Neodiprion lecontei: one gene and its partner. The protein of the gene in region 1 binds, or shares a complex with, the protein of each later gene. Links are inferred from orthologs where the notes say so. Each region holds a gene or a part of one and is shown in the gene's direction. Other genes may lie near its edges.

Region 1 (4,848 bases):
CCGAAAAACGAGAACCTGTGTTTTCGACATTTTTCATCAGGTGCTTTCTCCTTCGTAATTTCTCTCCTGTTGATCCCACGCTCTTTTGGCTGCTTTTTCTGAGTTCCTGGCGGTCCAATTAGTCAGGAGAAGGTCATACAAATCGAATCTGAGACCAAAAATTTTCGGCTCCAAAAATGAAGAAAAAGTAAGGCTAACCCCTTTGCATTTTTGGCGAAAATCTTCGCGATTTTGAAAAGTGCTGGAATAAATTCTTTCGTGCACTATTCCGACGTAATTTTGCGAGAGAAATCGACTGGGCGCAGTCCCGATACGCTGCGAGCAACAGATCAAAAGTTACAGCCAAAAAACCAGAACCTGTGTTTTCGACGTTTTTCAGCGGGTGCTTTTTCCTTCGGAATTTCTCTCCTGTTGATCCCACGCTCTTTTCGCTGCGTTTTCTGAGTTCCTGGCGGTCCAATTAGTTAGGAAATGGTCATACAAATCGTATCTGAGACCAAAAATTTTCGGCTCCAAAAATGAAGAAAAAGTAAGGCTAACCCTTTGCATTTTTGGCGAAAATCTTCGCGATTTCGAAAAGTGCTGGAATAAGGTCTTTCGTGCACTATTCCGACGTAATTTTGCGAGAGAAATCGACTGGGCGCAGTCCCGATACGCTGCGAGCAACGGATCACAACTCACGGCTGAAAAATATGAAATTGACACCGGGTTATTAAAGAGGTGGAATAGAAAAATCACAAACTCATCGTTACAAAGTTTCAGTTTCAGTTTATTCAATGTGTTTTATTTCTAGTACAAGTGTTCAGGTGTCAATGTATACTACTTTACCAAGTTTAGTTAGCATAATCATAATATTGTATACTTATACATAATACTAATGATGATATATTCTACATAATATTATACCACTTATTTTTATTATTGAGGGCCAGCTTCCACAAAGTAGACACTCATTTGTTGGGCAAATGTGTAGCCATGGCATATAGTTTAGCGGGCCGCCACTGGAGTGCGCGACGAGCGGTATGTCTGTACTTTTGAAACAAATGCGAATACACGTGCCGTGTTTGATCGTACTTGTGATCAATTTGGTGGGTTGCTGTATCCTGCAATACATCATAAGTAATGACGTGGTAATGTACTGCCGTGGTAATCTTTACCACAAAAACAAGGGCAAAATACATGTTCTTCACTTAGGTTTTTCGCTAATTGAATAGACATACAATTTAATACCCATGAAGATTTTAAGTATGTAACTTCAATTTTAACAGTTGAGTGTTGTGTGTTTTCATCGAGTTTTTTTTTTATCGAAGCTGGAGAAATATGCAGTGGCTCAATGACGGATTGTACTTGGGTTATTCATGAGAATCTGAGACTGCTAATTTTTTACACTAGACCGTTATGTTGACAATGCACAGAAACCTACAACGTCATAGTCGGCCGAGCGCGAACAAACTCAATCTCAATAAACATAACATAACCCATGACCGTTGAATCTAACGTTAGAATACCGCAGGGATAATGACTTGTTCGATTGACACGTCACTGAACAAATCTTAATCGCTGATAATGTTATGAAGCGCGGAAGAGGATAGGAATTGTTGAAAAAATTAGATGACAACATCGCTAATTTTTTCAATCATTTCTTGCTTCTATTTCAGCATGTAATTCCAGAAAATATACCTGTATGTTTGAAAAATGTTTTACAGCCACAGTTCGTGGAAATCTGGAGATTAACCATCTGAAAATAATGCGAATACATGTTAGAATACATACATGTACATACTCTGATGTTCTCTTAACAAACGCAAATAATATAATTTAGTCGACTGTACCGTTTAAAACGACAGCGCAGTCTGCCGGCGAGGCCCTGAGTTATCCACCCTGGCCGCGGTTTGGAACCAAGCGCGGTAGCGTCTCTACTGGTATATGTTTTAAGGCCTCCACGGAGCGGTTCATGTTCGTTCTGATCACGGTTTAGAACGTTTAGAACCGTGGTTCTGATAGCTGTCGGATATTACTTTCAGTGGTTTACCCAAACGTAGTGACTGTAATGACCTGAGTTTTTGAAGTAAGTGAAATATTTTATCGCGCCATGAATACAAAGGAAAAGGAGAAGTACATTGAAGAATTCGATTTTCCGCACTGCGATGAATCAACGAAATATGAAAAAGTTGCTAAAATCGGCCAGGGTACTTTCGGGTACGTGATCAATTCATATGTTAACAACTCCCACTCCAAGGTTATGTTTGTTACAATCTTTGATTACTTTTTCACAGAGAAGTGTTTAAAGCAAAGGAAAAGAACAGTAACAAAAAATTCGTAGCAATGAAGAAAGTTCTTATGGACAACGAGAAAGAAGGGGTAACTATCAGAATTTTTCGTCAAGCCGCATTATTCATCTTGTAGCTTCGACCTTGTTCTCTTAGTCGTACATTTGCTTTTTTACTCGGCATGACTCCCGTAAACAATTGGAATAACTTACACTTGAGATCGTGTGCCTAAGCCCTAGATTCAACACCCTGTACCGCGTTATTGTACTGCGACTGTTAGTCATAAGCATCATTCCATTCTAACCCCAAAACCATTTACCTAATATGGTATCATTGCAGTTTCCCATTACAGCACTGAGAGAAATAAAGATATTGCAGTTACTGAAGCACGAAAATGTGGTTAATTTAATTGAAATATGCAGAACTCGAGGTATGTTCATCAGAATCGAATTGCATTGGTTGTGAGAAAACTGCAGAATACTCAGCGCCGCGCTATGATTTGTTGTTATAGCGGCTCAATACAACCGTTATCGATCGACGTTCTACCTGGTGTTCGATTTCTGCGAACATGATCTAGCAGGTCTATTATCTAATGTAAACGTCAAATTCAGCTTGGGTGAAATAAAGAAAGTCATGCAACAACTACTCAATGGCCTATACTACATTCATAGTAACAAGGTAAGTTAGATTCAACTAATGTTTCTCTGAAAATCATTTATATCTGCCGAAACTCCTAATTACGTTTTTTACATTCACAGATCTTACACCGAGATATGAAGGCTGCCAATGTTCTTATAACAAAAAACGGTATATTGAAACTCGCAGATTTTGGACTGGCGCGAGCTTTCAGTGCCAATAAAAACGGTCAAGTAAATCGGTACACAAACCGTGTTGTCACCCTCTGGTACAGGCCACCAGAGCTGTTACTGGGAGACAGAAATTACGGTCCACCAGTAGATCTATGGGGGGCGGGCTGTATTATGGCGGAAATGTGGACTAGGTAAACGATTTAAGATTTGAATTAAGTTTTTTGCTATGGCTGCTTCCAGTTTATTTTTAATGGAAGTGCATTCATATTGTCAAACTTTTATCAAATCCAGATCACCCATTATGCAAGGAAACACTGAACAACAACAGCTCACGCTAATTTCTCAACTATGTGGATCTGTGACCACCGAAGTATGGCCCGGTGTAGAAAATTTAGAGTTATTTAACAAGATGGAATTGCCCAAAGGACAAAAAAGAAAGGTACATGAATTTTATAAGAAAATTAAAACATTAATTTATCAATCGAATTTCATTGTAAGAAGAATTGCACTTGAATCAATAAATGACAAATTCATGTGTACTAGGTGAAGGAGAGACTAAAGCCGTATGTCAAGGACCCCTTTGCTTGTGACCTTTTAGACAAACTATTAATTCTCGATCCCAGCAAAAGGTATGACTCCGATTCGGCACTGAATCACGACTTTTTCTGGACCGACCCAATGCCCTGTGATCTCAGCAAAATGTTGGCGCAGCACACTCAAAGTATGTTCGAGTATTTAGCACCGCCCCGACGACCGGGTCACATGCGTCACCCGCATCACCCAGTTCCTGGAGGTCCTGCCAAACCAAGTTCGAGTATGGCGGACAGTGGTTATCAGGATCGCGTATTCTAGAATGTACATAGACGCAACAGACACTGCTACACAAATACATTATACCTAGATATAGTTAGATAGAATTTATCTAACGCTTTTCAAAAAGCGTTGCTGTATGACTGAAACGTGCGATTGCATTTCAAGAGTGTTGGACCAGTAGCGATTTATCTGGCCCAGTTCGTGTACATTAGACTGTTATACATATATTGTAATTTTTTTTAATTTAACACGTGTAATAATATACTCAAATATACATTTTCTATATCAATTAAATTACACTCATTCAATCTCCTCTGTCCTCCACTTATATGCTTCGACTTGCCGCCGATTTTTTAATACACTTTTATTTACGATTTGAATCGTCCGTTCCGTGGAAAGTAGCAAAATATGTTATTTGATGAGATGATGTTGGTTATGTATTACATTGTTCGAAGATACGAACTTTATTTATTCCAGAACAAGTGAACACGACAGTGTATATAAATTTATTGTTTATTGCACTCCTTATAAATATAATCGAACAGGAAGCGATTCTGCGCAGTTTTCATCTATATTCTGCAATAAGAGGTGTTGGTGGCTAGGTTCATGTATATTATCAAACATTTTAATATATCAAATAGTAGCTAGTTAACTATTATAAAATTAGGCATTGTAGGACTCAGGAAAAATTACAATTAAAAAGATACAACATTGAAAAAAAAATGAAAAAAATCTGACGCTGATCTCAAAATGCTATTTTCAACATCATAAGAATATATATTACTAAAAATACACATTAGTTATTAGAGATGTTGAATGACTTGTATAGTATTATAGTTTTGAAATGCAATGCAAGGGTAGTACAATTGAGAAAGATAAAGTACGAGCATTAGATCTAATCAATCGACATGGCTAAGCTGTGTGGCGCTGGGAGGTAATTGGTTCATCGTTTGAAT
Region 2 (5,153 bases), on another chromosome or scaffold:
CAGAGTGCTCAGTTGACTAAATTGAAATTTTAACTGGAAAAACAAAATTACAGTGTTGAGATAATGAGGAAAAAATTGGACAGCGAATCTCTAGGAATTATTCTGCTAGCAGCTTTCATGGATGAATTTTTTCCCGAAGATCCTCGTACTTGTCCTGACACATTTGTGTTGTTCCACTACAACGGTTTGCCACGAAGCAACCTAGAAAACAAAGTCACATATCGGAGAGGACAAGCTGTGCTGCTAGAATGTACAGTCAAATGTATTTTAGATAGCAATCCGATGTTGACGGTATTGCAAACTAAATGGCCGAGCATCGAGGTACAGTGGGACAAAGAACAGACACCCAGTGTCAACTAGAAGAACAAATTTTTTTTTTTTGTTTTATACGAAAGTGTAGAGACTGCATACTCTCTACGACTGAGTCTAGACTGTGTACAAAAAAAAAGGTAAAAAGAAAATAATAAATCAGAGCACCGTAGGCATTGAGGTAGAGAAATGTTAAAAAAAAAATACGACCAGTTACGTGATTCTAAATTTATAATAATATAACTACCTTAAGTAATATCTAAGGTACCAATTGTCTAGGGTCGTGACGGTTTTATTTATATGTATAAAAAGTAATGATATTAAATTAATGAAAAACAGCACATTCCGGAAGCAACCTTGACTTTTTGAGTTAGAACGAACAGCGGGATTGTACATAGCTCTGGTCATATCTAGTAATTTTCTTTAATTTGCTAAGAGATGTTTCAAAGATTCAAAAGATTTGAGGGCCATAAGTTCATAACAATTATTGTGAAAATACTTCTGCTGCAAAAGTTAAAACCAGTAATAGTAATAATGATAATAATAACGATACTGAAGTGCTGAAGGCTTTTTGGATTCCGATAAAAACAAAAGTTAAGACATTATTTTGCTAAGATGAAAGGATTATTTTTTTGCATATAAACATCGAGATAACAGAAAAAATTGCACTGGTGTAAAGCCAATTGAAGGTTGCCGTTCAATCTCATGCACACGAATTCGACTAATATAATGAAGAAATCTCAACAGAATTAAAACAGTAATTGTCTAAATTAAAAGCTGATTCCCCCTTTGCCATAGTTACGTTTTGGGTTACGCTGAATGCGGTATTCTTGATTTGCCTTGTTAATTTGGAAAGTCAGTAGCACAATGTAAAATCAACAATAATGACAACAATAAATTCGTTGCTTTACGCAAATGCTCTGAAGACTGAGTATAATATAGGAATCAATGTTTAGAGTATAACTACCACGTTACGTTTGTAATAAGGTTGCGTACCAAAAGAGAAAGAAGTGTCTTTGAGGAAAAATATAGTAATGATAACATTAAATAAAAAGAAAAACAAAGTTATACTGATAACAATTATAAACGAAATTAAATAATAATAATAATAACTGATGTAAAGAGAATGTTCTCAAACATTAGGTATAGATAATGTTTCTGAATGAATATGTATACAGGAACAAGGTAGCGTATACTAGAATCTTCTTAATATATTCAGTCAAGAGAGTGAAAGAGAAATATAGTGATTCGTCTCATTGTATAAGTTGAAAGTTTTTTTTTTTTTCTGCACAGTTTAGACAACTAGCAACAAATGTATTTAAGCTGACCATCATAGTGTACATGAGTACATGGGATTAATAGTTAATTATTTATGACGCTCTTCTAAAATTGTTGAAAAAAGAAAAATGAAAACTAATATTGAAATAAAGAATAGTAACACCTCTCATGTTATAGTTATTCTTATCAATCCAATTAATCATTGTTGCATTTTTCGCATGTGTAACCCACCGCCGTGCGGTTTTCAAATTTTTGCGGACTCACGACTAACAGCCGAAACCACCGATTAGCAAGAACGGGTCATGAGATCGATTGATTGAGTTTTCTTGCCAATCAGAGCTGGGCTCTGTAACATTTTCTCTACTGTCACAAATATAGGAGTAAAATCACAAAGTGTCAGTCAGTTGCTTACGGTTTGTATAACAATAATGCAGTTGCTGGGCTGTTAATTTTTGTTTAACCAACAATGAAGTTGCATGTACCGCGAATTGCAAATGCGAGTGTCGAGATTGAAGGATAATTTGGAAATTTATGAAAATAGAGAACGAATTCGAGGTTATGTTTTGCATGCGTATTTTGCCGTTCTATCGAGTGACGTCACCTGTCACTCATGCGAAAAGTAACAACCGAAGCTGCTAGTACCTATGATTTTTCCTCGCGAGTCGCTAAAGAGCGCAACAAGTTCCAATGGTTGCGACGACTTCCGTCTGCCGTAAGATTGCCGGGCCCAGATTTTAGAATTTATAACACAGCTGACAAAGTCGACAAAGGTCATTGTAACCAATCAGGCTGCAGATTTGATCGGACAACTTCTTTTATCACCGGTGACAAAAATTTCGGTATCCCAGGTCCTCGGATGCCATTTTGACGCTATCCAGTATTCATTCCCCTTCTTTCAATTTGTACATACATACTTGTCACGCCATGAGTGCGAGAGTTGCAGCCCGAGACTAAAAATTGGGTCAATGGAATATGTAGCGTAAATTTCGAGGTAAGTTTTCACCATTATTTTGCACAATTTTTCGACAATATTACAACCGTCTTGACCGACTCTACTCGAATTCTATCTAAACTCGTATCCAATCTAACCAGCTGGGTTTTACCCGAGCAAACAATTCCGCTTTTCTCCCTTCATTTTTTTTTCCTTTCTTCTGCTCTCATCTTTCGTAAACGAAAAAATACCAGAAAAGTCAAGTAGACAAAGGCCAAAAAATGTTTTGTTTCTATTTAAAAAAAAGCCTGATCTTCCAACTGTTATTCACAATCCTACCATGTTTTATTCTTACTCGACAATGTGGTAGAAAAGTTGATGGGGGAAAAATGTTCAGATAAATATTGTAGGCTGTGAACAATTATCTCAGTTTTCTGCAAAAGCTGCAAAAGCCATCACTTATATTTGTCCCCATTTCAACTTGTTAATGGGTATGAAACAATGCTTTATCGCTTTATTAAATAAATGCCAGACATTTCTGAGACGCTATTTCCTCCGAGATGGCCGAGAAACTTGGCCTCGGCCCTGAGATTCGGGAGCTTAAGCTGGGTCCCAGTTTTACTAACAAGAAGTCGACCGCGTTCCACACACTTAAGTGTAAGTATCTGTACGCTACATTTGTAGTCTGTGTTTCGAAGTCAAACAACCCTACTGATTTATTTATTCGTAGATGACTTCAAACCAGCCAGTGTGGACGTATCTAAGATGGCACAAGTTGACGTTGGATCGAATAATACCATGACTGTAACTGTGCCACACTTAGATGGTGCTGGAACACCTCATACTGTCTTCAAGGGCTCCCAGCGACCGTATCACAAGGAGTGTGTATTGATAATAGATCGTGTCACAGGGGAAGTAACACTCGAGAAGTTGTCATCGAATATACAAGTGAAAAAAACGCGGTAAGCATTGTTGGCATCTATCGTTTCCCGGTTTTATAGAACGTTACATTTTCAAGATAGTGAAATAAACGATAAATGGTTCCTTCACAGAACCGAGCCTAAGAGTCAATCATTTCTGAGTATTCCTGGGCAAAACAGCAACAACCGCCCTTTCACGCCGGTTGAAAACAAGAAAAGCCCGACTCACGGTAGGGCCAATGGAAGAACCAAAGTGGCTACCGGGAGAAAGAAAGAACCCATGGTTCAGCTACATCCAAAACAACACAGCCCGCTTCAAGCGTCACCTTATCATGGAAAAAGCCCCCCAAACATACCAAGCAACAGGTATCCAACGACCGGTTGATATTTACCAGTCCCCAGAGTCTATGCACTATATTCTCTGATGCTACTTACCATTACAGTTCTCCTGTGCCGCCTTCCATTGCACAGTCAACTTTGGCCAGTCTTCCAATGATTGGTTTAGACAACGACGACTTTGCTTTGTCTTCTATGATGACGCCCGCTCAACCCTCACACGGTTCGGCACCACCCAGGACTGAAACTCCAGTTATTCGGGAAATAACTCTGGAGGAAAGCGCTCCTGCTACTGAAAGTGATGAACGAGCTCTCAGCGACTCAAGTTCTAGTAGCTCCAGCTCTGATAGCTCTGACAGTGATTCGGATGCCGAAAACATACCAGTTCCGATGACTACTAATGGCAAGTATAGTTATTTAAACTTGTCAATTGGTTATGCCTGCTGCAAGTATTCTTCTTTCTTATTTCATTGATTCGGATTTATACGTTTCTTTTCAGCTTGTTCAAACTCTATTTATCTACTTTCAGGACATGCAAACGGCATGTCAGCATCTCCCTCGTTGTCAATGCCTGATAATTTGCTTAAGGATGATCTACAATTGTCTGAATCTGGATCAGAGAGTGACTAAAAATATCATCTCTCCTATTTATCATCTCTTGACTTGAATTGGGGAGAGAGGGCAATAAAGATGCGAGTTTCATTATATCGGCCATTGTGGCTGCCAGCATGAGTTCAAATTTTTATAGCTGACAACAACAGCATCATATTGGATGAAAGAAATTACGTTATAAATATGTACAAAGCCTTATGTAATGAATTAATTAAATGAATTGTTCATTATAGTTTTCTCCTGTACATCAGAGAACTTAAACTCGAAGATTCTTTTTTCAGGGAGCGCAAAATTTTTAACTAGCGTGCCTAGACCAACTTCAATCCCATAGATTATAATTATGCCACGAGATAGCATCAATGTAACTTTTGCAGTCGCCGTAGAGATAATTTAGGGCAGTGAGCGAGGCACTGACAAACCTAAAACGTGCCTAGAAAAAGAAAGAATCGCTGGCACCACTCTATTGGTTTGTTCATGCTAGCTATACTTTCTACATTTTCTCAAATATACAGTGATAGTGTTCTTACCGAAGGTGTAAAAAAAAGAAAAGTGGTGAAAGTGTAGCTGCACGAACAAACCCTATCTTTGTCTCATTCGCCTCTGATTATCAACTGTTGACGCCGGAGCGGCGACTAGTGTGGAAACAAGGACAGAGAGTTAGGTGTCAACGATTCTCCTTCCCTTTCTACGTGCCTTTCAGGATTTTCGTCGCCTCGCTCACTCTATCCTAATATTATCTCTATGGTCTTCGTACGGATGTTCTACGA

The links.
Region 2: cyclin-dependent kinase 9 (region 1) and ell-associated factor Eaf share a complex: the UniProt entries of both Homo sapiens proteins name them as parts of the super elongation complex. The link is inferred for Neodiprion lecontei from reciprocal best matches to the Homo sapiens genes CDK9 and EAF1.

What each region holds. Positions count from the first base shown.
Region 1 is NC_060261.1:1,241,537-1,246,384, forward strand, and holds cyclin-dependent kinase 9, read left to right. Parts: upstream 1-1,945; 5' UTR 1,946-2,092; coding exon 2,093-2,199; intron 2,200-2,276; coding exon 2,277-2,361; intron 2,362-2,609; coding exon 2,610-2,700; intron 2,701-2,781; coding exon 2,782-2,948; intron 2,949-3,028; coding exon 3,029-3,270; intron 3,271-3,370; coding exon 3,371-3,518; intron 3,519-3,622; coding exon 3,623-3,931; 3' UTR 3,932-4,181; downstream 4,182-4,848. UniProt on the Homo sapiens protein: Protein kinase involved in the regulation of transcription.
Region 2 is NC_060263.1:14,748,162-14,753,314, reverse strand, and holds ell-associated factor Eaf, read left to right. Parts: upstream 1-1,946; 5' UTR 1,947-2,578; intron 2,579-3,050; 5' UTR 3,051-3,078; coding exon 3,079-3,175; intron 3,176-3,248; coding exon 3,249-3,480; intron 3,481-3,570; coding exon 3,571-3,804; intron 3,805-3,881; coding exon 3,882-4,177; intron 4,178-4,273; coding exon 4,274-4,404; 3' UTR 4,405-4,610; downstream 4,611-5,153. Other genes in the region: ubiquitin carboxyl-terminal hydrolase MINDY-3 homolog, read left to right, coding at 54-360. UniProt on the Homo sapiens protein: Acts as a transcriptional transactivator of ELL and ELL2 elongation activities.